Drosophila melanogaster: one gene and its partners. The protein of the gene in region 1 binds, or shares a complex with, the protein of each later gene. Each region holds a gene or a part of one and is shown in the gene's direction. Other genes may lie near its edges.

Evidence for each region. The genes of interacting proteins can lie anywhere in the genome.
Region 2: Nup75 (region 1) and Nup107 share a complex: the UniProt entries of both Drosophila melanogaster proteins name them as parts of the nuclear pore complex.
Region 3: Nup75 (region 1) and Nup188 share a complex: the UniProt entries of both Drosophila melanogaster proteins name them as parts of the nuclear pore complex.

What each region holds. Positions count from the first base shown.
Region 1 is NT_033778.4:18,162,205-18,168,713, reverse strand, and holds Nup75 (nucleoporin 75kD), read left to right. Parts: upstream 1-1,573; 5' UTR 1,574-1,642; coding exon 1,643-1,669; intron 1,670-1,726; coding exon 1,727-2,889; intron 2,890-2,950; coding exon 2,951-3,296; intron 3,297-3,363; coding exon 3,364-3,554; intron 3,555-3,611; coding exon 3,612-3,759; intron 3,760-3,818; coding exon 3,819-3,950; 3' UTR 3,951-4,020; downstream 4,021-6,509. Other genes in the region: CG42518 (uncharacterized protein), read right to left, coding at 422-506, 576-748; MED9 (mediator complex subunit 9), read right to left, coding at 777-941, 993-1,056, 1,192-1,397; Naus (nausicaa), read right to left, coding at 5,189-5,862, 6,386-6,507. UniProt on the Drosophila melanogaster protein: Component of the nuclear pore complex (NPC) that seems to be required for NPC assembly and maintenance. Required for nuclear import of phosphorylated Mad via importin msk.
Region 2 is NT_033779.5:10,732,793-10,739,042, reverse strand, and holds Nup107 (nucleoporin 107kD), read left to right. Parts: upstream 1-2,971; 5' UTR 2,972-3,097; coding exon 3,098-5,270; intron 5,271-5,334; coding exon 5,335-5,699; 3' UTR 5,700-5,750; downstream 5,751-6,250. Other genes in the region: CG12299 (uncharacterized protein), read right to left, coding at 1-1,155; Vha16-5 (vacuolar H[+] ATPase 16kD subunit 5), read left to right, coding at 2,086-2,667; Dpy-30L1 (Dpy-30-like 1), read right to left, coding at 5,821-6,225. UniProt on the Drosophila melanogaster protein: Plays a role in nuclear pore complex (NPC) assembly and maintenance. Required for nuclear import of Mad. Mediates the association between the nuclear pore complex and a subset of active chromatin regions adjacent to lamin-associated domains.
Region 3 is NT_033778.4:12,680,180-12,688,909, reverse strand, and holds the start of Nup188 (nucleoporin 188kDa), read left to right. Parts: upstream 1-2,730; 5' UTR 2,731-2,837; coding exon 2,838-2,863; intron 2,864-2,925; coding exon 2,926-4,163; intron 4,164-4,235; coding exon 4,236-4,345; intron 4,346-4,404; coding exon 4,405-5,369; intron 5,370-5,425; coding exon 5,426-7,496; intron 7,497-7,557; coding exon 7,558-7,712; intron 7,713-7,769; coding exon 7,770-7,983; intron 7,984-8,043; coding exon 8,044-8,730. Other genes in the region: CG30053 (uncharacterized protein), read left to right, coding at 1-115; CG13148 (uncharacterized protein), read right to left, coding at 216-1,071, 1,130-1,313, 1,831-1,903. UniProt on the Drosophila melanogaster protein: Component of the nuclear pore complex (NPC), a complex required for the trafficking across the nuclear envelope. Required for proper protein transport into the nucleus.

The sequences.
Region 1 (6,509 bases):
TCTCTCGATAAACTTAAATAGACACGACTTTATAAATTGGAATCTTAAATTAAAATCTTATAGTTTAAGATGAGTTTAATGTCTATGCAAACTGAAAATGAAAACAAATTTGCTGACGCAAATTACGTTGAAAGCGTTGTAAATGCAGACATTAGGTTATTATTTGATTTTTTTGTAAAACGATAGTTTCAGAATGACAATCTGAAGTTCTCTTTTGTTTTTAAGTGTTAAGATAAAATGGCAATGAATAAGGATTTCTTTGTTTCCTAATTACCTTAATAAAAGCAATTTCCTATTCTACAAAAATAAGGTTCATTCACCGAAGATAATGTTCTGGCTTCAATGTTTATTCATCTGTGTTTACTAAAATTTATCTTGCCGCGTATATACAATTGTAGTTAAACAAGTTAATTACTGAACCCTAGTTCTTTTTCTTGCTATTAAGCTCCTTCTTCACTCCCTCCAGCTCTTGGCGCACGTTGTTCTTAAACATGTTAACGAAGGATCTACAATTTGGAAAATGCATGTCAGATTGGCGGATTCAGCCAGATGATTCTGGCGATTCTTTCACTCACTTGAAACGCTCTGGCGTCATCTCGTGCAGTCCCTGCTCCCGGGCCAAGTCTTTTGTGCGGTACATCAGGGAAACGACCAACTGGGCAGCGCGTCTCATGGGATAGCTCTCCGCCATGCGCTGGATGAGCTGCTCGTTGTTGGCCAGGTAGCGCATTAGCAGTCGCAGCACCATCTTGCCCTTTTTTTTATTTTGCTGCCGCCTAGAACTCTGTGTCCTTGTATTTGCGAATTAGCTGCTGCTTAAGCTTCAGCTGATTTCGCAGTAGTTCCAGTCTCTGTTGCTGCTCCTCCTTATTGAAATCGATCCCGGGGAGCTGGCGGATTTGCTCGCGTGCCGATTCGAAGCGTTTTTGAAGTTCAAAGATCTACAAATCAAGTATATAGCGGTGGCAACTTATGACGAACCAAGGACTCACCTTGTGGTTGCAATCCTGGGACTCGCGCAGCTTAACGGCGTTCTCCAGAGGATCCTTTTCCACGCTGAAAGACACAAAGACGCCAGGTTATATAAGGTGCGGCATTAATTGCGCACTTGTTGCTAAAATCCGCCGATTTTCGGCATTGTCCGTGCAGGGGCAATGACACCCGGAATCCGCATCCGCGATGACCACTCACCAGCGCACAATGTCGTAGATTATCGGCAGAATCTCAATGTCCAACTGGTCAACCGTCAGATGGCACTGGCCGCCGATTCCGTTGGATGTTTGCGTCTCCTGCGATATGGTCGGCTCGAAGGGGGAGTTCGAAGTCTGAACCAGGCCGTCGGCGGTTAGGATGGGTTTTCTGTCCTCGATCTGATTGTTTGGCGACAAATCCATCATAAAAAACACGAATCGAATTTCCAGCGTCAGAATCAATAGGACCTTACCGACAACACGTAATAATACCAAAGTAATGCCCTCACATTCTCTTAATTCGATTAATATACTAAAGGGAAAAGTAGTAGATGCACAACCTGCTATCGAAGTACGATAGACCGATAGAGCCAGGCAAATGCCGCCTCTGCTTATCGATAACAAGCAACGAATCGTTTAGAATTTATAAAGAAGAAAAACATAAAGCCAACATGAGCGACAGCGGTGTTTTCGCCTTCGTAAGTAGCTGCACAAATAAAAAACTCAATAGATTAAACCTCGTTTAATCTATCTAGGAGCTTGGCGATGACCTAGCCACACGCTGTGGCAATACACTCACTGGCGTCTTTGTGCCGGGCTCACGAATCGCACTCAGCGCCTACCGGCATGTGACGCACAGTTCGCGGGATGAGCCCACAGAGAATGCTGGACAGGTTCCGGTGCTCATCTACATGGCGCAGGAGTCGACGCTGTTCGACGAACCCGTTCTCCGCAGCGTACTCGCCGAGGCGAATGCCACGTTCGCCACGCTGCAACAGTTGGGTTCGCGGGCCACACGTGCCGAGTATGTGAATATATCCCGGGCATACAGGAGCATTGTGCGCTCATGCCTGGAGAAGCTGGAGCAGGCAAAAAAATCGCCGGAGGTTCAGACAGATGAGGCGCGCCTGCAACGCTTATGTGATGCCATCGTTGTGTTCTATGCGGCAGAATGCCTGTGGCATCTCTTCGAGATTCTGTACATTCAGAGCAATCAGCTGGTGGTGCCGCAGCTGCTCGACTGGGCGCGTTTCCACTCGCCGCACGCAGAGGACAGAGCCACGGATCTACTGCTCATGGGAGAGGAGGCCAGCGAATCTGATGACTATTGGAGCATTGTCAAATCACTCATTATGCTGGGCGAAATAGATGTTACGAGAGCAGTTCTCTCGCAGAATCGCAAAGCTGGACAAACGAGCTTCAAGGCGGCCGAACAGATCCTGAAGTCCATGCCAGTGTATCAAGAGGGCTATGCCCTGCAGAAGTTTCACTCGCAGTGGGAGTTCTGGCACGTGGATACGGAACGCAAGATTCAGTCCGGCTTATTTGCCACGGAGCCGGAGCTGGAGCAGTTGATTCGTCTGGTCGCCGGCGACAGCGAGCAGTGGGATGCTGGCATCAAAGAGTCCCAGGATTTCTATGAATACCTGCCAGGATACCTGCTCTTTACCAAGCCCACCTGCAAACCCTTTGAGCTGAAAATAGCGGCAGCCAAATGGCTAAACCGATGGTGTCTTCTCCGGCCGGAAAGAGAGCAGTGCAGCATGAACCGCATGGTTTCTCAGCTTATGGATCACGATCTTAGACTATTTATATACGATGCTCAAAAACTTAACGACACACACTGGTTCTCAACGCATTTGATTGATCTTATCCATCATTGTGGTCAGCTGAAGAGCTATTTCGATCAGAACAACATGTGAGTTTTTTTGTCAGAAGTTATGTTCAATCAATATGCTATATATTTTATGCACCCACAGCGATCTTCCGGCCCTGCGTCACTCAATGATCTATGAGTACGGCAGCTATCTGATGACGTCCCACAATATGTGGCAACTGGGCATCGACTATCTGGACTGTTGCAAGCAGGAGGGTCAGGCGGCTATCGAGCTGCTTTTGCCCCGAATCACTTTGCGCAGCGAGCGGCAAGCCACCAAGCTTATTAACCTGGCCAGGCAGCGCGGGCTCATAAGCGTAGAACGGGAGATCTGCAAGGTGCTTTCAAAGCGATCCTACGATAACGAGCGTTATGGAAACGCCCTGGAATGGGCCATTCGCTCCAAGGATGTGCTGCTGGTTACGGCGGTAGCTGACTTTATTTTAAAGGTAAATATAAACTATTTTTGCATAAGTATTTCATTCAATTTGATTTGTATATTGATCTGTGGCATAGCATTACTCGAAAACTGGCTGCATGCTTTGCCCGGACACCATTGCCAATGTCGGTGGCCGAATGTTTGCCTCACCGCGCTTGGTGTTTCTCTCCAAGTACTTTGAGTTCTATGAGTTCTACCGTACCCGTGATTTTCTTTCTGCCTCCGAGCTGCTGGTGAATCTTTTGGAATCCAAAATTACGCCAGACTAGTAAGTTATTGGGTTTACTACGAACACATTTAAAAGTAACATATATTCTTCCATTAGCTTTTGGCCATCGTTGCTCATCGATTCCATGCCACTGCTAGAGTCCAAAGATCCGAAGATCTTCGCCAAGGAAACGGTGGCCATTCTGCATCACATTGAAACCGATCTGGTGCCCATCATCGAACGCGATGTGTCCAAATATGGAAAAGTATGTCTAGCGTTGCTTGCGTTTTATTGATGTCTAATAATTGGGCTATTCCTTCGCAGCACCACACAGAAACCGTGTTCAAGGACTATCGGGTGGAGAACGTTGACGAAATCATGAACCTCCTGCGCCTGGCCTGCGCACGCAATTTGGCCCGAGCATTGATCATTGAGAACACTTTGCCCGTGGTGTGATTTTGAATGCATTTTTAATGTAATTTATTTTGTATTTTTCGCTTTTCCAATACATCGTAATTTGTTATAGATCGCGCTTGCATTGCTAACTTGTTATTCATACGCATTTTGTTTATATCTTGTGCCTCTTTGCTATGTATTTATTGTACCAACAACACTACTTGACTGGCTGCTGCCCTTTGACTAAAAAGGTAATCCAAGCTGCTGGGGGGCTGGAGGGATGTTCACAGTACGCATTTGTAAAATAAGTGTTCCCGTCGAACGATGTCCGTCCCGGTCAACTATGCTAGTTTGAACGGCGTGGGTAAATCTATAGGATACACTTCTCGGTTATAGGTTAGGCGGGCAAACAAAGGTGCTTAGGCCGAACTTAGAACTTAATATATAAATCAAACACTACGAAATAATTCAGTATGTTAGCTGCACATGGAGGAAGTTGATTACACACGTATGCGACGCACCTAAGAACTATTAAACAACGCCCAGAGTACAAGGGTAGTACACATAGTTTGATGCATATGCGTGGATATATATATATATATAATCTATTATATATCTGTGGGGTATGTATATAATTATCATATATTGTGGCTGTTACTTGTTATGAGAATCGCACGGCCTTGTACAAATGTTCGGTTACTACGTACGGAATTACATTTAAAGTCGCTTGTCTCTTGGCTTGGCCCGCGGACCGCCAACGGCATTGTAAAATGTATCGTTCGCTTGGTAAAAAACAATAACTAAACTAAACCAAACTTAGACGATAGGCCGCCTGGGGGGGGAGTCGCACTGTATACTATCATTCTAATTCTTAACAAACTTCTCTCCTAAACGTTTTGTATGCCAAATCACGCTAGGCAACAGAAAATACTCAAATAATCGCATCCTTTTCACTTTTAAGAAGATTTTAGATTACTTTTTAGGATTCCAATCTCGAACTGACAATGAAGTCGATTGTATAAATGAGTAAATATCAAAGTATATATAAAAGAGACTTTTAAATTGAAATCTTTTGTAAGCTACAATCTAAACTGAATAATCACAATAAACAAAAAAAAAATGAAGACATGTACGACCATAAAATTTTAACATTTTAAAGACAAGAGAACATGAAAGTTGTCAGTTCGGGATGGAGGATCCTGTTGCCCAGCGCGGTCACCGAGGGACTACGCCGCTTGAGTATTTCGCTTATCGCTACGCCCAATATCGGTTATTAATGTAAGTCTGAGTGTAGGTGTCTAATTCTGCTTCGCCGTGCCCGCGGCCGTGGTGGCTGCGGTGGCAGCCGCTATGGCACTGCTGCCCGTTATCGAGCCCAGCCGGGAGAGCGATGGCTCCCGCTTGGGTGGCACGATCGGCTTGGTTGGTATGGGGGGCGGTGCTCCGCGAGCGCCCGCTGGCGGCACCGTAACCGGCGGCACGGCAATGGGAACGGGATGAGGATGCGGTGTTGTTGTCTGGTCGAGGGCAGCTGCCGCAGCCAGTGCGGCATACTTGCCGCCGGGCGCCCGCTGGATGGTGGCCGTCGGCTGCATCTTTGCCGGAGAGGGTGAGGGTGGCGCCACCATGGGCACGGTGACCGTAGCAGCCGTCTCAACTGATGCAGCTACTGCTGCAGCTGTTGCTGCTACTCCAATGCTGCCGCTCGAGTTGCTGTTGCTGCTGGTGGTGGTGTTATTCGTGGTGGTTGTGATGGTGGTAGTGTGGTTGAGCACGGCAGTTAGTGGTGCTATTGCTGCTGTGGCCGTGCCCGTGGGCGCCGTTGCGATTCCAGCGCTCCGGATGTTCTGGCCCGGCGCAATGGAGCGGGCGATGCCGGTCTGTGGTCCCGAGACCGGCATGCTGCTAACCGTGGCTGTTGGCTGCACGATCTTGGCGATGTTCACCATGGGGGGCGTGGCACAGGCGTCGTCTGTAAAAGCGCAGAGAAATGGGATTAGCATTCGGCTTATGACAGCTCCGTAAAACACTAGATTTTCGGATCTCCGAGGCGGATTGGCCTAACCAGAAGCCCATATAGAGCTGCAAAGCCATTGCAGATGAGTTCTGGGAAGGCCTGGCTTGTGTGGAAATGCTTTGGCATGGTCGTGAAAAGTCTACAGACGCCACTGGTGTCAATTGGCTACGTTCTGGCTTTTGTCAGGGTGCTCCAATCGCTGGGGTGCGAGCGTGCGGGGTGGACGTGCGAATGCGTGATCTTTGGGTTGGTGCAACGTGAGGTGCACGAGGAACATCACAAAACAAAAAACAAATCACCTTGCAATTGCGTAACATTTTTTCTAACAAAAGATTTCGGCTTCAAGAGGAGTTCGAAAAAAAAGTAATATATATATATAGAGTTAAAGTTTGTATATAGAAAATTATAAGGAGGGCAACCATATGTATAATTACAACAGCCAGTTTCCAGGTGGAATTGCCTTGTCTGGCTAACTCACCGCTGAACTGTCGCGCCTTGGCGGCGGCCACGGATGAGCCGCTGCCACCCAGTTGCTGCTGCTTTTTCAGAGCCTCGTGCTCGCTCCGTAGGGCGTTGAGTTCCTGCTCCAGCTCCTTGACCCT
Region 2 (6,250 bases), on another chromosome or scaffold:
GTGCTCGTCGAGCAGCGCCTCCGCCTTGAATTCGCGCTCGCACTCCGGACAGATGAACGTCTCCGTGGGCGCGATGTGCGTCTTCTGGTGCAGCAGCAGCGAGCTGTAGTTGATGAATCCCTTGTCGCACTGCACACACTGATGCGGCTTGCGCACCGAATGCGAGCGCATGTGCACCATCAGGCTGCTGGACTGCGTGAAGGCCTTCGGGCAGAGCTCGCACTTGTACGGCTTCTCGCCGCTGTGGATGCGGATGTGCGTGTTCAGGCTGCCGATGTGCGTGAATGTCTTCTGGCAGATGGAGCACTGGAACGGCTTGTTGGTGATGTGCGAGCGCACGTGCTTGGACAGATCGCCGGCGTTGGGAAAGCTCGCCTCGCAGTGCGTGCACTGGAAGCATTTCTGGTTGCCATTCAACGCTGGATCCATCACGGGTGCACCGATGTTGCTCCGCCTTCCGCGCCGCCGCTTGATGGGCGTCGATTGCAGGCCCAATCCCGGGCTAACAGTGGGTGCCGGTGGTAGTAGCTGCTGCAAGGGCGTGACGCTTACGGTCGGCTGCACCATGAATATGGAGGTGGACTCCCGCGGATCTGTCATCTGCAGCTGGAACTCATTGTAGCCCGGACCGGCAACCAGGCCGTGAAGTGGCTGCACTGACTCCTGGCTCTGCTGGGTATTGGAGTTGCTGGTGGTCGGCACCGAGCTGCTTGATGAGCTCGAGTTGCTGGAACTCGAACTGGAGCTGCTGCTGTCGTCGTCGTCATCGTCATCGTCGTCGTCCGACGACGAGGAGCTGTCGGAGCCCGAGGAGGCGCTCCCATCCGACGAGTCGCTGCCATCCTCCGCCAGCTCGCACACCGGCTCGAATATCCAGCTGTAGTCCTCGCTCTCGTCGCCCGGGCTCTCCTGCTCTTGCTGTCCATTGCCCGGCTCATGGGGGTGCAGGGTGTTCATGTGCTGGTACAGCGCCAGCGGATGGACGAAGAACTCCGCACAGCACATGCAGTGGAAGGTGAGATCCGGCGGCTGTGGCTGCTGCGGTTGCTGCTGGGGTGGATTGGGTGCCTGTTGCGGCAGGAGGTGCGTCTGCTGCAGGATTGGCGTGATCGTCAGGGGCAGGTGGTGGTAGCTCTGTTTCAGCTGCACGGCCATCTTGCCAAAAGGCTGTGCAAATCAAACAACAAAAATCACAAGGAACACAAGCGACGAGCGTGTGAACATTTTCTCTATAATAAAAATGCGCGTTTGCGGGGAGAAAAATCAATGCCGTACCTTGGGTGAGATTAGATGCGAAGTGCCGTGGATCAGGGGTTCCGTAGACTACTATTATATCACTGGTGTGTGCTGTTGCTCAGGTTCCGTGCTTTTGTGTTTCTCTCAGGGCTCTCGTCCACATTCGTCCACTGCGTTCCATTTTATGCGCCGCCAGCGAAATGCGAATAACTTGCTTCCTGTTTTCGGTGCTCGCTTGTTTTTGAATTTGGCTGCTCGGTTCCGTGGGTCGCCGGAATCGCGTACCGTCCTCCGACCCGTTGTCTGGTTAGCTGCGACTGCCAGGAGCTGCGACTCGAGCGAATGCAGCGCATCGCCCAATCGCAATTCTGCAGAGCCAAAATCGCAATTGCAAGCGTCTTCGCCGTGCGTACAACAAATAAAAGAAAAATGTTTTATGTTGGGCGGCCCTTGCACGATTGGACGGCAGCATATCGTCATGCAAGCGTTTCGTGCACGTCGCCAGCATGATGACCGATAAACCGCGCAGCTTCAAATTCAAACCGCAATCGATTGTTACATCTTTCGAAGGTTTTAAACATTTAATAATATTTAATTTAATTTCGAGTGCCTAAATCTAAGCAAGTTTTATTATTAGTGTTTAATTTCACTTAACAAGTTGCTAAAATTATTGAATTGAGCCCTAACATCTTAAATAATATTAATATTAAATATAAACTGCTCATCTCGTTCCCCTTGGATTTTCTTTCTTGCCAAACTACAGGCTAGTCAGACTAACAAGTTGGAAAATCCAGAAAGCAAGCAACGTGGATCGTTCCTTTTCAAGTAAATACGAAAAAGGCTACCAAAATGGAAATGGATTACTATCTGCCAGTGTATAACGGATCAAATTCGGTGGACGTGCCGGGGCTGATTGAAAGTCTCAAGCTGAAGGAAACCAGTATATCGCCAATCGTGCTGGATCGCTATCCGCCGTACTCCCCGTTCTATGGCGTGATGGGCGTCGTATTCTCCAGTGTGCTGACCTCCGCTGGAGCGGCCTACGGAACTGCTGTTTCCGGAACTGGAATCGCCGCCACAGCGGTGATGCGTCCCGAGCTGGTGATGAAGTCCATCATTCCGGTGGTCATGGCGGGCATCATTGCCATATACGGTCTGGTGGTATCCGTGCTCCTATCTGGGGAACTAGCGCCTGCTCCCAAATACTCGCTGCCCACCGGCTATGTACACCTGGCCGCTGGACTTTCGGTGGGATTTGCTGGACTGGCTGCCGGATATGCAGTGGGTGAAGTCGGCGAAGTGGGCGTGCGGCACATTGCCCTGCAGCCACGCCTCTTTATCGGCATGATCCTGATCCTTATTTTCGCCGAGGTGCTCGGTCTCTACGGCCTGATCATTGGGATTTATTTGTACACGGTCAACATTAAGTAGCAGAATTTGTTATATCTAAAATATTTAATTCGTTAAGAAACGTTTTTATCGATCTTTAATATTTGAAATGCCTTTTGAATTTCTTTACGCGATTGTGGTACTCATTTCAGGTACGCCGTTGCGGTACGCGATGGAGGTACCCCATACTAATGATTCTACGGAATGCTGGTACCTTATTCTTTAGCAGCTTTGCCGAATTACTAGATATGTAAACAATTTAAATCAATTTGTTTCTTACGAAATTTGCTTGAATTCAGTGAGAATCGCTTATTTACAAGTGTATGTGCAAGGGAGCTTTCTTGCTGTTCCGTCATCTGGTAACACTGAACGCTCCCGGCATTTTTAGCGAATAGCGCGTGAATTTCTGTTTTGATTAAATTAATTGAATTGATGTGCCGTAGCTGATAGCCAAGAAACGCATAGTGCAGCCATGGCCGACAGCCCGTTCCCGAGGAGCAGCCGCAGTGGCCTGCTACGCACGACGCTGAACAGCTCGATGCCGCCGCAAAATCTCTCCCACTCGCTGCTCATCCTCGAGAAGAGCAACGCGGAGCAGAATGAGCTCTCGCTGATGGAGGACACCGGCGATGATCTGGATCGGGGCAAGAGCCGCATGGACGTGCTCTTCCCGCAGTTCTTCGACGTGCTGCAGGCTCAGGGTAACGGGCAGGAGGCATTCGAGGTGATCCAATCGCTGACGCAAGTCTGTCGCGGCGTGGTGGAGCAGCTGGAGCTGGAGATCGATCACGGCATGGGTGGGGAACAGGGCGCGCGGCAACGCGAGTCTATGCTCACCTGGCTGCGACAGGAGATAAACACGTGGCGCCTGCTGCACGCCCTCTTCTACGACCGCATCCTGCTGCAGACGGACAGGCAGGCGGATGATGAGATGCAAGATGGCCCCACGCTCGGCGGCAGCGAGAAGGAGGTCATACAGCAGTTGTACGCCCTCAATGCGACGCTGCGTGAGTACCAGCTGGTGGTGGACTGGCTGGAGGCGTGCTACGACCGGGGGGAGCAACAAAACCCACTCCACGCCCACGATCGTATGATGGCGTGGGAGAACACGCTCTTCCAACTGGAGAACCTGCAGGGCGCCGCCTTTGGCAAGGGCCATAAGATCGTAACGCGTCTGGATCCAGATGCTCCCGTACGCGAGAAACGACCGTTGCACGCCCTCGACGAGGAGGACAACCTGCGCCTGTCCCGCGCCATTTTCGAATTGATACGAGCGGGACGCGTCGACGATGGCCTCAAGTTGTGCAAGCACTTCGGACAGACGTGGCGGGCGGCGATCCTTGAGGGCTGGCGTCTCCACGAGGATCCCAACTTCGAGCAGAATGTCTCGGTGCTGCACGAAAAGCTGCCCATCGAGGGCAATCCCAGGAGGGATATCTGGAAGCGCTGCGCGTGGATGCTGGCCGATTCCAAGAACTATGACGAGTACAGCCGCGCGACGGCGGGTGTCTTCTCCGGCCACTTGGGCTCGCTGAAAACCCTTTTGCACAGCAACTGGCACGATTTGCTCTGGGCCCATCTGAAGGTGCAGATCGACATCCGTGTGGAATCGGAGATACGCGGCTGCTGCCTCAAAAACTACCAACCGATGCCCGATGATTACTGGAACGGCAGGATGACGATGGAGCAGATCTTCGAGGAACTGAACGTTGCCAAGGATGCGTCGGTGCGGGATTTCGCCCAAAGTCAACTGGGCATTATCCAGCGTCATTTAATCCTGGATACTTGCGGCGAGCTGATCCAACACATGGTGCGCTGGGTGGAGAAGGATACCTCCCAACAATCGCCCCATCAATTGCGCTTTATGGCCCACATAGTGCTCTTCCTGCGTCAAATCGGCCGTGTGGAGCAGGAGCGACAGGCGGAGAAGATCGTAGCCGCATATGTGGAGGCATTGATTGCCAGGGGCGAACCGCAGCTAATAGCCTACTATACTGCATCGCTTTCGAATCCGCTGCAGGTTCAGCTCTACTCGCGGTTTCTGGAGCAAGTGGAGCAGAAGCGTCCGCGGGAGCTAGCTGTGGATGCCGCCCTGCAGGCGGGCTTGGATGTGGAACAGATCACACGCGTCACCGTGCAGAATATTCGCCTCGCACATCAGCCACTCGGGGAATTCGGTGAGCCGCAGTCCGGCGAGATCTCTGCAATCGATCAGCGCAAGATCTCAGCATTGGAGTGGCTAATCCATTTGCCGGAGCAGCGCGGTGAGTTGCTGTGGCAGGCCAACGCCATGATACGCACCTATCTGGCCAGCAGCAAGGTGGAGTGCATGCGCCAGACCTTCCGCATGGTGCCGGCCGACATAGTGCAGCAACTAGTCAGCTTGTACGGCTCGGTGGACAACATACCACCGCGTGAGGAGTGCTGCCTGAAGGAGTATCTCTGCTACAAGGCGTATCTGTCTGGCGTCGACAGTTTCGTCGAATGGAACCGCCTGCAGCAGAACAGGCCCAAGAAGCCACAGACTTCACACGCAGCTTCCTCGCAGGACAACTTCACGGAGCGCATGGCGAGTGAGCGCAAGGAGCAGGCTCACCGATCGGAAGTCGTGCGCTGGGAGCACAAGGTTAAGGAGCAGGCCAAGCGTAAGTGGATCGCATACCCATTAATGAGATCTTTTGGCATATAACCCGCATTCTTTCCCTGCAGAAACCATCGAACTCCTGTACAATGTGCTCATGTTCCCGGACAAGGGTTGGCTGGTGGATCCGTTCATCGCCAAGCTGCCCGAGAACGCCGTGCAGCTGAGCTGGGATCATCGCCTACTGCAGATGGAGAAATTGCGCTCCATCTGCATTCCTGAGATCGCCCTGTTTCTGAACGAAGTGATGTTCAAGTCGGGAGACTTTGCGGGTTGCGTGCGCCTGGCAGATGAAATATCCAGCGAGAATCGGCAGTTGTACAAAGTCTATACGAAGCACAAGCTGGCAGAGCTTCTGGCCAAGATCGCGGACGCCTCCCTGGAGCTGCTCAACTCGAAACTGGATCCATGGGGCTATCCTATAACAACTTAGCAATCCTAGTACATTTGTGTGTTTTGCGATTACATTCTAACTTTAAACGTTTATTATTTATTCACTGTTCAATTATACAACTAAGGAGGGGGACAAATGGGAGGTAGGTAGGATGGAGGGCTTAGGAGTTGTTGTCCACGGCGGCGGCGGAGGCGTTGTTCTCGTCGCACCCGTTGCTATGCTTTAGTAGGTAGGAGGCCAGGAACTGTATGGGATCCGTGGGCCGTTCGCGAGCCAGGGCCTGCATTCCGTGGAGCAGAACCGGCGCCACCGTCTGGTCGAGGTACTGTCGCGTGGGCATGTTGTTTGTCTCGCTACTGGGCTTCTTGGCCACCGCCGGCTGCTGTTGCTGCTGCGCCACTGGATTTGTGGACTGGCCAACGGCAATGGCTCCGGATGGAGGAGCTCCCGGCGCAGCGGTCGGGTTTGCTTGCGCATTGCTGCTTGCATTTGGCTCCTTGCCAGCTTCTGCCGGCGGATTTGTTGTGGGCGCTGGTGAGATGGGTGCGTCGGTCTTGGCCTCCATGGCAATGTGTTCCTTTTGTTCAGCA
Region 3 (8,730 bases), 5.5 Mb from region 1:
AGGAGAAGGTCTGATCTTTACCACGGATATCTGGAGCCTAAGTTATGGTCTGGAGAAACCCCACGGAAAGCTGACCTCCCTGGCTAGCATTTTCGAGATAGACTGGCAGCCGTAGAGTGTTTTAGTTAGCCGAAATTGTATTTACACACCCAACTAGATACAGACGAATCGAAGCCTAAAGTTATCGAAATTTACTGGGAGGGAACAGATTCATCTTAGGCCCGGCGGCACTTGGCCTCCACCAACTTTTGCAGCGTGCCCGTCAGGCTGTTGATGGCATCGATCTTCATGCGCTCAATCCGCTCCTGCTGCACCAGTGACATTTTTTGGATCTGCACCTGTTCGCGCTGCAAACTCCGTTGTAGCTCTATCTTCTCCCGCTCCACTTCCAGTTTTCTTTCAAAGTAGTCCTTCCACCAGATGTCATCGGGGATGCCAGAAGCTTGGTGCGAGCCCATGGGTCGTGCCAGATCGTAGAGCTTGCCATTAACTTCCAGATGTTGGCTGCTATCGTTTGTACGTTCAGCCTCCGCAACTTGATCGCCATCGTACTCCATCTTGGGTTGACGGACTACCTCCGACATGCTGTTGCTATCCTCATCGAACTCATCGTTGGACTTGCTGTCCAGATTCATCTGGGCCTGCAGCAGGACCTGATCCACAGGTGTAATATACGGCTGGCTGTCCTTGGCCGCAGTCTGGGGTGGAAGTTGCACCTGCATTTGGGGTGTTCCCGGCTTTAGGCTCACCGGAGTAGGTTGAAGCTGTAAAGGTTGCTGGGGAATACCCGGATTCGGGTTTTGCCCATTAGCCGAATGTGGAGCTTGTGGCGCATTTGAAGTCTGTTGTGGCAACTGCATATCAAAGTCAGCCTTCTTGCCCTGCAGATACTTGAACATCTCCTCGAAGAACTCCCAGTGCACATAGCCGGATACGTATTTTTTGTTCAGATTCTTGTTGTAGGTGATGAGGATGTTATGCCACTTCTTCTGCACCTTTGCGGCGGAGTAGCGAAATCCCAGTCGCTGTAGTTGCCGGGTGCAGTGCAGCCAAAGAGCAGTCCGTTTTTGTCTGTAAGGGAGTTACTTTTACAAAGATGTCTTTACGGTGGAATAAAAACCTTGCTCACCTGCCCTCTGTAAAGCTACCCTCCATGGGACCGCGTATGTGAATCAATGCCCTGGTGGCCTCTGTGGTCCAAGCACGCTCGTAAGGACCACGTCCCACATTATTGCCTGCCCCTGAGGTATCTGCCTCCTCGAGCAAGCAATCATCATCCAGGTCATCCAAATCATCGTCACTTATTTGATAGGCTATGGAAATAAAAGAAATAAGTTACCTTTAATTATTGTCCTTGTTTTGAATAATATAAAAGCTTACAGATTATAATAATTATATTTGATACCCCTTTATACACTACGAAATTAACTAACGAAATCGAGGTAGTTCTAGCCTTATCTGATTTAGCTTAAGTTCAAAAACTTGTTGCTTTTGGGCAGCAGTGGCATCTCTGGCGCTCTCGCAGCATCCTTTCAGACATTTCTCTCTCTTTGTTATCCTGCTCTCATGCTCGCTCTCCCGTTTAAGTTATCACCCAACGCCAGGCCAAAAAGCATCCTAGCTATGTCAAAGATGCTAGCTGCTGCTGACATACACCTTTATGATACATACATATATACCTACATATATCCTGATACATGACACACACTATGTGCGTAGGTATGCACATATGTCCTTCCACTAGGACTGTGCAGACCAACACTTGTGCACTTTCCGGGCAATCACTCAATTTTCTATTATGATTTCACAATTGCCAATCGGCAGACTTACGTTCATTATCCTCGACATTATTTCCGTTGCTAGGGGCTTGCCCATTTCCTGCGTTGAGCTGAACTTGAGCCATTGCGGCTATCAGACTTTTGAAGTCCAATCTGCCTTTTCTGCCAGAATATGAGCAATTTTAGACCTTTCGCCTGTCAATAGTTTTCTCGTACTAACAGGACAATTTTCGGGCTGCAGCTTCCAGGCGCCGTGAACGTGAACTTCGAGTGCGCCTACTCTCTCGCGCCTTCTCCGCTCCTCTCTCGCTCGCTCTTAGATCTGGAAAAGATGGGAGGCTGCGGCTAGCCGAGGAGTAGTGGTATTAGTTTCCAAGAAATGGGCCTCTAGAATGGCGTGGTTGGGTGGCTGGGCGGTGCAGTGGGCGCCGGAGTGCAGCATCTGCGCACTTTGCACTCTGACTTCGCAGGTCTGTTAGCCGCAGCCACAGCCTCACTGGAATGGCTTTATGTGATTGGAAAGTCTAACCTAAATAGTTCTAGTCCGGCTGGATTGGAAGGCTATTTATGAAATATTTGGGAAATATCAAGATCTGAATGCTAAATGCATGTGTCAAGTTATGATTGAAGGGCCACATGCGAACGTCTATATTTGAAACCTATAAAATAGGTTTCTAAACCTATTCGCGTGAAATATATACCAATTTAACTGTAATGCTACAATAATAGATAAATAATGGGGCGCACACGTGCTTTCCATGTATATTTTATTTGTATAAATCTATAAGCGATCATCAGATCTAAGATGTCATACCTTGATTTAAGTAAGATTTAGTAAGCTAAAGAAAATGTATAAAGTACTGTATCACAATTTTCTAACTGGCTTTTTAAAACAAGAACTATCGTTTTATCGATACACCTTCGGTGTTACCAGCTGATTGTCCCGGCATTTTATTGTGCTAGGTGGCAACTCCAACGCCGCGAATTTGCGCGTGGAACAGAATACATTTGTTATTAAATAATTTTTTATTGTAGTTGTTAAGAGACAGAGCCTAGACAATGCCTGCGGTGGAAAAGAGCGTGATGTGAGTATCGGCAGTGCGACAATATTGAATGACTAAATAAAATCCTTCGATTTGCCATGTAGCACCGATTGGAAGCGCCTGTGGCCGATGGTCTCAGGAATCCACTATGAGACGCCGCAGGATACTGTACGTGAGGAGCTGATGAACGTGGCTTCTGAATTGCAGGCTGGAGTGCTCCAATTTAAGCCCAAGAATGCCTCCAGCCTCGAGCTGGGCACGTTGCTCAAAGAGAAAAAGCAGGAAAAGCTGCTGCCCTTCACCGAACGACTGCAGGATCTGTTGGATCTAGAATCCGCCCAGTGCTGGGAAATCCTTTGCTACTACCTTACGCAGGAGTACCGTGGATCGGCGAGTCTCCTTACCCAACTAATCTCTACCGAAACGAATATGGCCAAACTGCACGAAGACATACGGCATTACTACTCCCTGGAACGCATGGTTGTCCTCAAGATTGTTAAGAATCTTATCGTCTTTCACCAGGTACCGAATCATCCCTATCACCGGGAGTATCGCGCCGTGGTCGAAAAGATAACCATCCCCCGCCTTAGAGATTCATACCTAGACCAACTGGAGAGCCTTATTTGCGAAGTCCCACCCAGAAAGCTAATGGCGGGAGAATGCTTCCACTCTGCGGAACGCTTAGTTGCCTGGTCGGAGCGAAATGCTCGTGAGATCAACGAGGTGCTGCACATCCTTCTGGTGCTAGCGGAACACCTGCCCATGGGGTTGGAGCAGATAAAGAGAATATTTGCCGCCTGCAAGCAACACTCCTTTGGAAAGATGCAAAGTTATCTGGATGACAGCCAACCTTACCATCAGGAGATTATTCGAAGCCTTTCTTACTCAGAGCTAATGTTAGTTTTAAAGTGCCTCGACTTTGAGAAGCCCGAGAAGCATTCCGATCTAATTGAAAAGCTTATAGAGGATCTGCAGGTTGATATTGCCAGCATGTACCACAGACCAGAGCATGGCCCTTTGCTCCTAGCGTGGATGCTGCTTCGCTTGCGAGGCACCAACGATGCCGACGATGCCTCCAGCTTGCTCCGCTGTCGGCAGCTGGGCAAGCGAGCCGTGGATCTTAAGTGTTTTGTCCAACTGCACCTAATTGCCAGACATTCTATGTACGCCGATGACTCTATGCTGTCACGGATTGTGCGAAGAACCATATACAACCAGGTTGGATATCTGTGCGACCTCTTCGACGGCGATGGCAGCTGCGCTCGGTATGAGGGCATTTACGAATTGCTCTGCGAACTTGTCTCATGGCCACACTTAGCTAAAGACTTTTGCAGTCGGGAAGGTCAGTATCATATAATCAAAAGAGCTTAACCGAAAAAATTAGTTTAGAACGAACAACTTTACATTTATCTAGATGATGGTCCGTGTTCGCTGTACAAAACTCTTTTAGAGAACTTCCCTCTAGAATTAACACATCTGTCCAAACTGGCACTGTCACTGACAAAAGCGGGACAAGGCAACTATGTAAGCCAATACTTGTACACTCAAAGGCATCAGTTAAAATTATTTTAACAATCTTGCAGGTCAAGAGCCAACTAGAGGCTTTGCCCATATTGGCTCTTCGTTACGACGAAAGTCAGCACAAACTCAGAGAAGTGGACACAAATGAATTCGAGCTCCTGGCCAGCGTGCAACCATTTCAGCAAATTGATTTTACCATACCCGCAGGAACTAGTTGCACAGCCATCCAACATCCGTCCGGCTGCTTTATGCACTTTCGTTTCCCGGTAAACTACTTTGACGCGCTGCACCACGAAATTAACTGCCTGCTACGCGAGACGGGTCACCTGCATGGTGACTTTGAATCGAGCGAACGCATACGCAATGTAGAAGCTGGTTTAAGATTTTTGGAAAGTGCCGTTAAGCTCAGTCAATCGATATCCGGCATCAGCGCCGAAATGGTGCATCCTACCGAGATGTGCGTTGATCTGCTGCACACGTTCAAAAGCGTTCAATACCCACCGGTTGGACTTTTGTCTAGCTGTCTCAATGTTTGCACTGCGCTGCTGCCGTTGGTAGACGAGGAAATCTTTTCGCGGATAAGCAACCTACACATCTTGCCAACAGTAAGCCCGGGATCTCACTACGACTTCAAGATGTATGCCAATGCCAATGGAGTGGGCTTTGAGTCGCGCTTTTTAGGCTCCGTCATTGATAATGTGGAGAAGAAAAGGGAGCGCTACGAATTCTTGCTTTCATACATTGGGTTCCTGCGAGCGTACTCCAACCTGAAACGGAATCGCCAAATCCAGATGGAGATTCCCGGCCTTATATTCCTGTTAAAGGATGTTTTCCCGCACTTGCACACCTGGCACTTTAGCTCTCAAGTGGAGAGAAACAAGATCTACTTCGAGATTCTTAGCTTTATATGCGACATCCTGGACTTGTTTAACACTGCTAAAGAATCTAATTGCAAGCAACGCGAACTTTTGGTAAAGGTGTGCGTCTATTCCCTTCTAAATTTGGAAAATGGTCTGATTCTTTTGAGGTAAGAGCTACCGTAACTCCAACCAAGAATAAATTTAAATAAAATGTATATTTTAGATTTGTTGGTGTGGGCAATGCTTATGTCCAGTACACCATGGAGCTAGAGACAAATTGGATGCAGCAGCAACCTCACGGCTTAATGATGTTAGTCCGTCTATCCATGCGTATCCTGATGCAGTTACTGCGCCTTAAAGAAGAGGTATATGGAAACAGTGAGACCCTTTCCCCGCTGGAGGCGTTGATATACACACAACCCAAACAGCGTGATACTCTGCGGATCATACCTACAGTATGCAGTTACATGAGCAACATATTTGATAGATGGCTACCGATTCTGTCTTGCCGCCTGCTGAAAAGAATCGCTCTCCAGTTCAATATGTCTCTCTTGGCCTGTCTGGACATGGAGGCTGATCAAATCCGATTGACGTTTATGCAGAAGTTGCCTGATGAGCTAGAAAGTGATTCCATAAAGATAGCCATCCTTGAGCTGGTGGACGCATGCATTGCCAAGCAACCGGGTGTTACCGAGGCATTTTTCAAGGTTAACTATGCCCTTGATAAACGTTCCCGGTCATTTTTCAGTAAGGATTGTGTTCCCAATATTGGCGAGAGTATTGTCACTTATATGAGAGACTTTCTGGACGCCCTTCAAGTGGATCCATTAACCATTCAACAGGCCTTGCCCGCTAAGATCATGACCATCTTCCACTCAATGTGGAAACATAATCTGCAAATGCTAGTGGATGATCTAGTGAAGGATAAACAGTTTTGGAAAAAACTCTGTTCGCCGCTCTTTTCCGAGCTACAGCCAAATTTACGAATCTACACTCAGCTTCTAAATATTATATCCATTGAAGTCTATACGGGAAATGGAAACAATGCCGCTTTGCTTGACGTCATGAATAAGTTCTTTGAACAGAAGAACTTTGGACCTTGGCTTAATTACGTCTTTAACATGCCCAAGGTTCCGGCTGTAAAAAATTTGAGTTCTTCCGACCATTTGCCCGACTGGATCTGTTGCCTGCAGGCTTTTAAGGATCTTATTGTAATTTTGCTAAAGAAACAGCCAAAGTTCGTGACCATACCCGAGTCGCAGTTTAAGCTAATGGCGCAGAAGTGTCTGGTTGTCCTGGTTGATCGCTCAAATTATTTGGAGGACATGCGGCCGTTCATCATACTGGCTGAACTGTATGTATTCATCTTACTGGAATTTAAGCACGCGTACACAGACAGTTTAGAGGAGGAACAGACACTAATGGACCTACTGTTGCAACTGATGAACCGCATCTGTGCGTGCTATGAGGATCAGCACGTAAGGGCCAAAGAGGCATGCCTGGCCATTGTGACCAAGTGCACACATCTATACACAGACCTGCTAATCAGGGACTCGTCCATAGCCTTGCGTTTTCTCAACTCAGTCGTAGGCATCATTTGCAGCGAACTGCAGCACATGGAGAACTCGGTGAGCCTGGAGAAATCGCAGGGCCTCAATAATTCGGACAGTTCAGACAGCAAGACATCCACCAACTCACTTATTCTCTGCCTGAATTTGCTAAAGGCTGTCGCTACCATATTCCACAACGACGGTCCCGGAAACTGGGATCTGCCATTTGTGTCGGTGCGTTTGTTTCAACGGCTCGTGCGCTGTGTGTCTAGAACCCTTCCATTGTTTAGCAAACAAGTTCTAAGTGTGCAGCTGCTGGATGTGCTCATTGTATTTGCCAAGGGCCACTGTTCAGTTGAGTTTCTGCATTGCGATGTGGGAGAATACTTGTGGCTGAAACTGTTGCCTCCCAGAGAACTTTTGCAGTCAAAACACGAGTTTACTAAGACGACGGCTGCGGATGCAGAAGGTTGGACCGTAGAGCAGTGGTGGCCTGTATACGCCAGAGGTATTGAGCTTGTTACCATCATTTACGAGAAGCACAAGAAGTGCTTTCTTGAAGATGCTTTTCAATTTGTGGGCATTCATGCTGTTTTCCTGGAGGATGCATTGTTATTGAGCAAACAATCCTTGGAACCGTCAGCCATGTACTTAATCAAGGCTGCTGTTAACTTAGTCGCCAGTTTGACGGAGCACCACAAAGAGTGGAAGCAAGACAGCGATCTGTCGCTTGCTAACCTAATGGTGGGTTCTGTTTTAGTTGTTCAACTAAATAATATTTTAATCGCTTAACTGAAATCCACAGCGTGCAGTTCAGAGTTTGCTGTGCCACACCTCATCTTTGTTTCACCAGCAAAAAAACTTAAAGTGTCTTCTGGCTGGTCGACGCTCCCAGCTAGAAATTCTGCGCAGCACAGAGGCTCTAATCGTTGACGATGAACTTATCTCCGCCTGCAATGAGTAAGTTAACTTGAATAATGTTGTTATACTAGACTAAATATTTCCATTTTATAACAGCCTCACGGATATAATAATTTCTTGCGTTAAAGCCTTGCTTAGATTTAGTCCGGATTTAATGGAACTACTGTGCTGCAGTGCATATGAGCCCTCCAAACACTCAATCTTACTAGACGTTAAGTTTGGTGCACCTAAGTTGAACGAAGAGAACTTAACGCTCACATTTGGAATCGTCCTCAACTTGGTAAACATATACGTAAAGGCCTTGAATATGGTATGTATATGTGGCATTATAAGTGTGTCCATTCTGTTCTAATTATTTTCAAAACATCAGCAAAATCATGGCTTCAGTGAGGTGCCATTAAACTCACTGCCCAACGTTGAGCATTCCGGGGACAACGATGATCCAGAAGTTTGTGTAGGCAACCAAACCAACCGCACCTTCTCCAAGCCTCTGTCCAATGTCTCGATTTCAACCGGAACCTGTCCAGCCAGTGAGCTGCTCTCCAACATGGACGGCCAGCTTTGTTTGCTTGCATTGGAGCATCTGCTCATGCTGGTCGCTTCGCAAGCCATCTGTATAATTCGCTCACCGAACCTCGAAACGCTCTGGAAGCAAATCGTGCGTCGGGACATCAGCAACGAGTTGTTAATCTTCAACGAGTTCGTGCGCCGCAAGGTGATATTAGACTACAAAGAGAACCGTAGTCCCTGGCTACGACGAAAACACGGGCTCTGTAAGCTGAAGTGCGTGGACCCAGTGAGGAGTTCAAGCAGTTCTTCCCGCAGCTCAGAAATTGTGCGCCGCAGCAACACAAATAACGAACTGCGAGTTAATGTCGTACGCAGACTGCATCTGCAGCAACAGCAGCGAACTCCTCCACCGCAAAACTTTGACATGAGCAGCGATCTGAGTCCCATTGCGGCAGCTCAAGGTGCAGCCATGACGACGAGCTTGGATGGCCGAAAGCGTTTGTATCCCGCTCAACAGGCGGGCGACGCGTTCTTGGAGGACGAACTG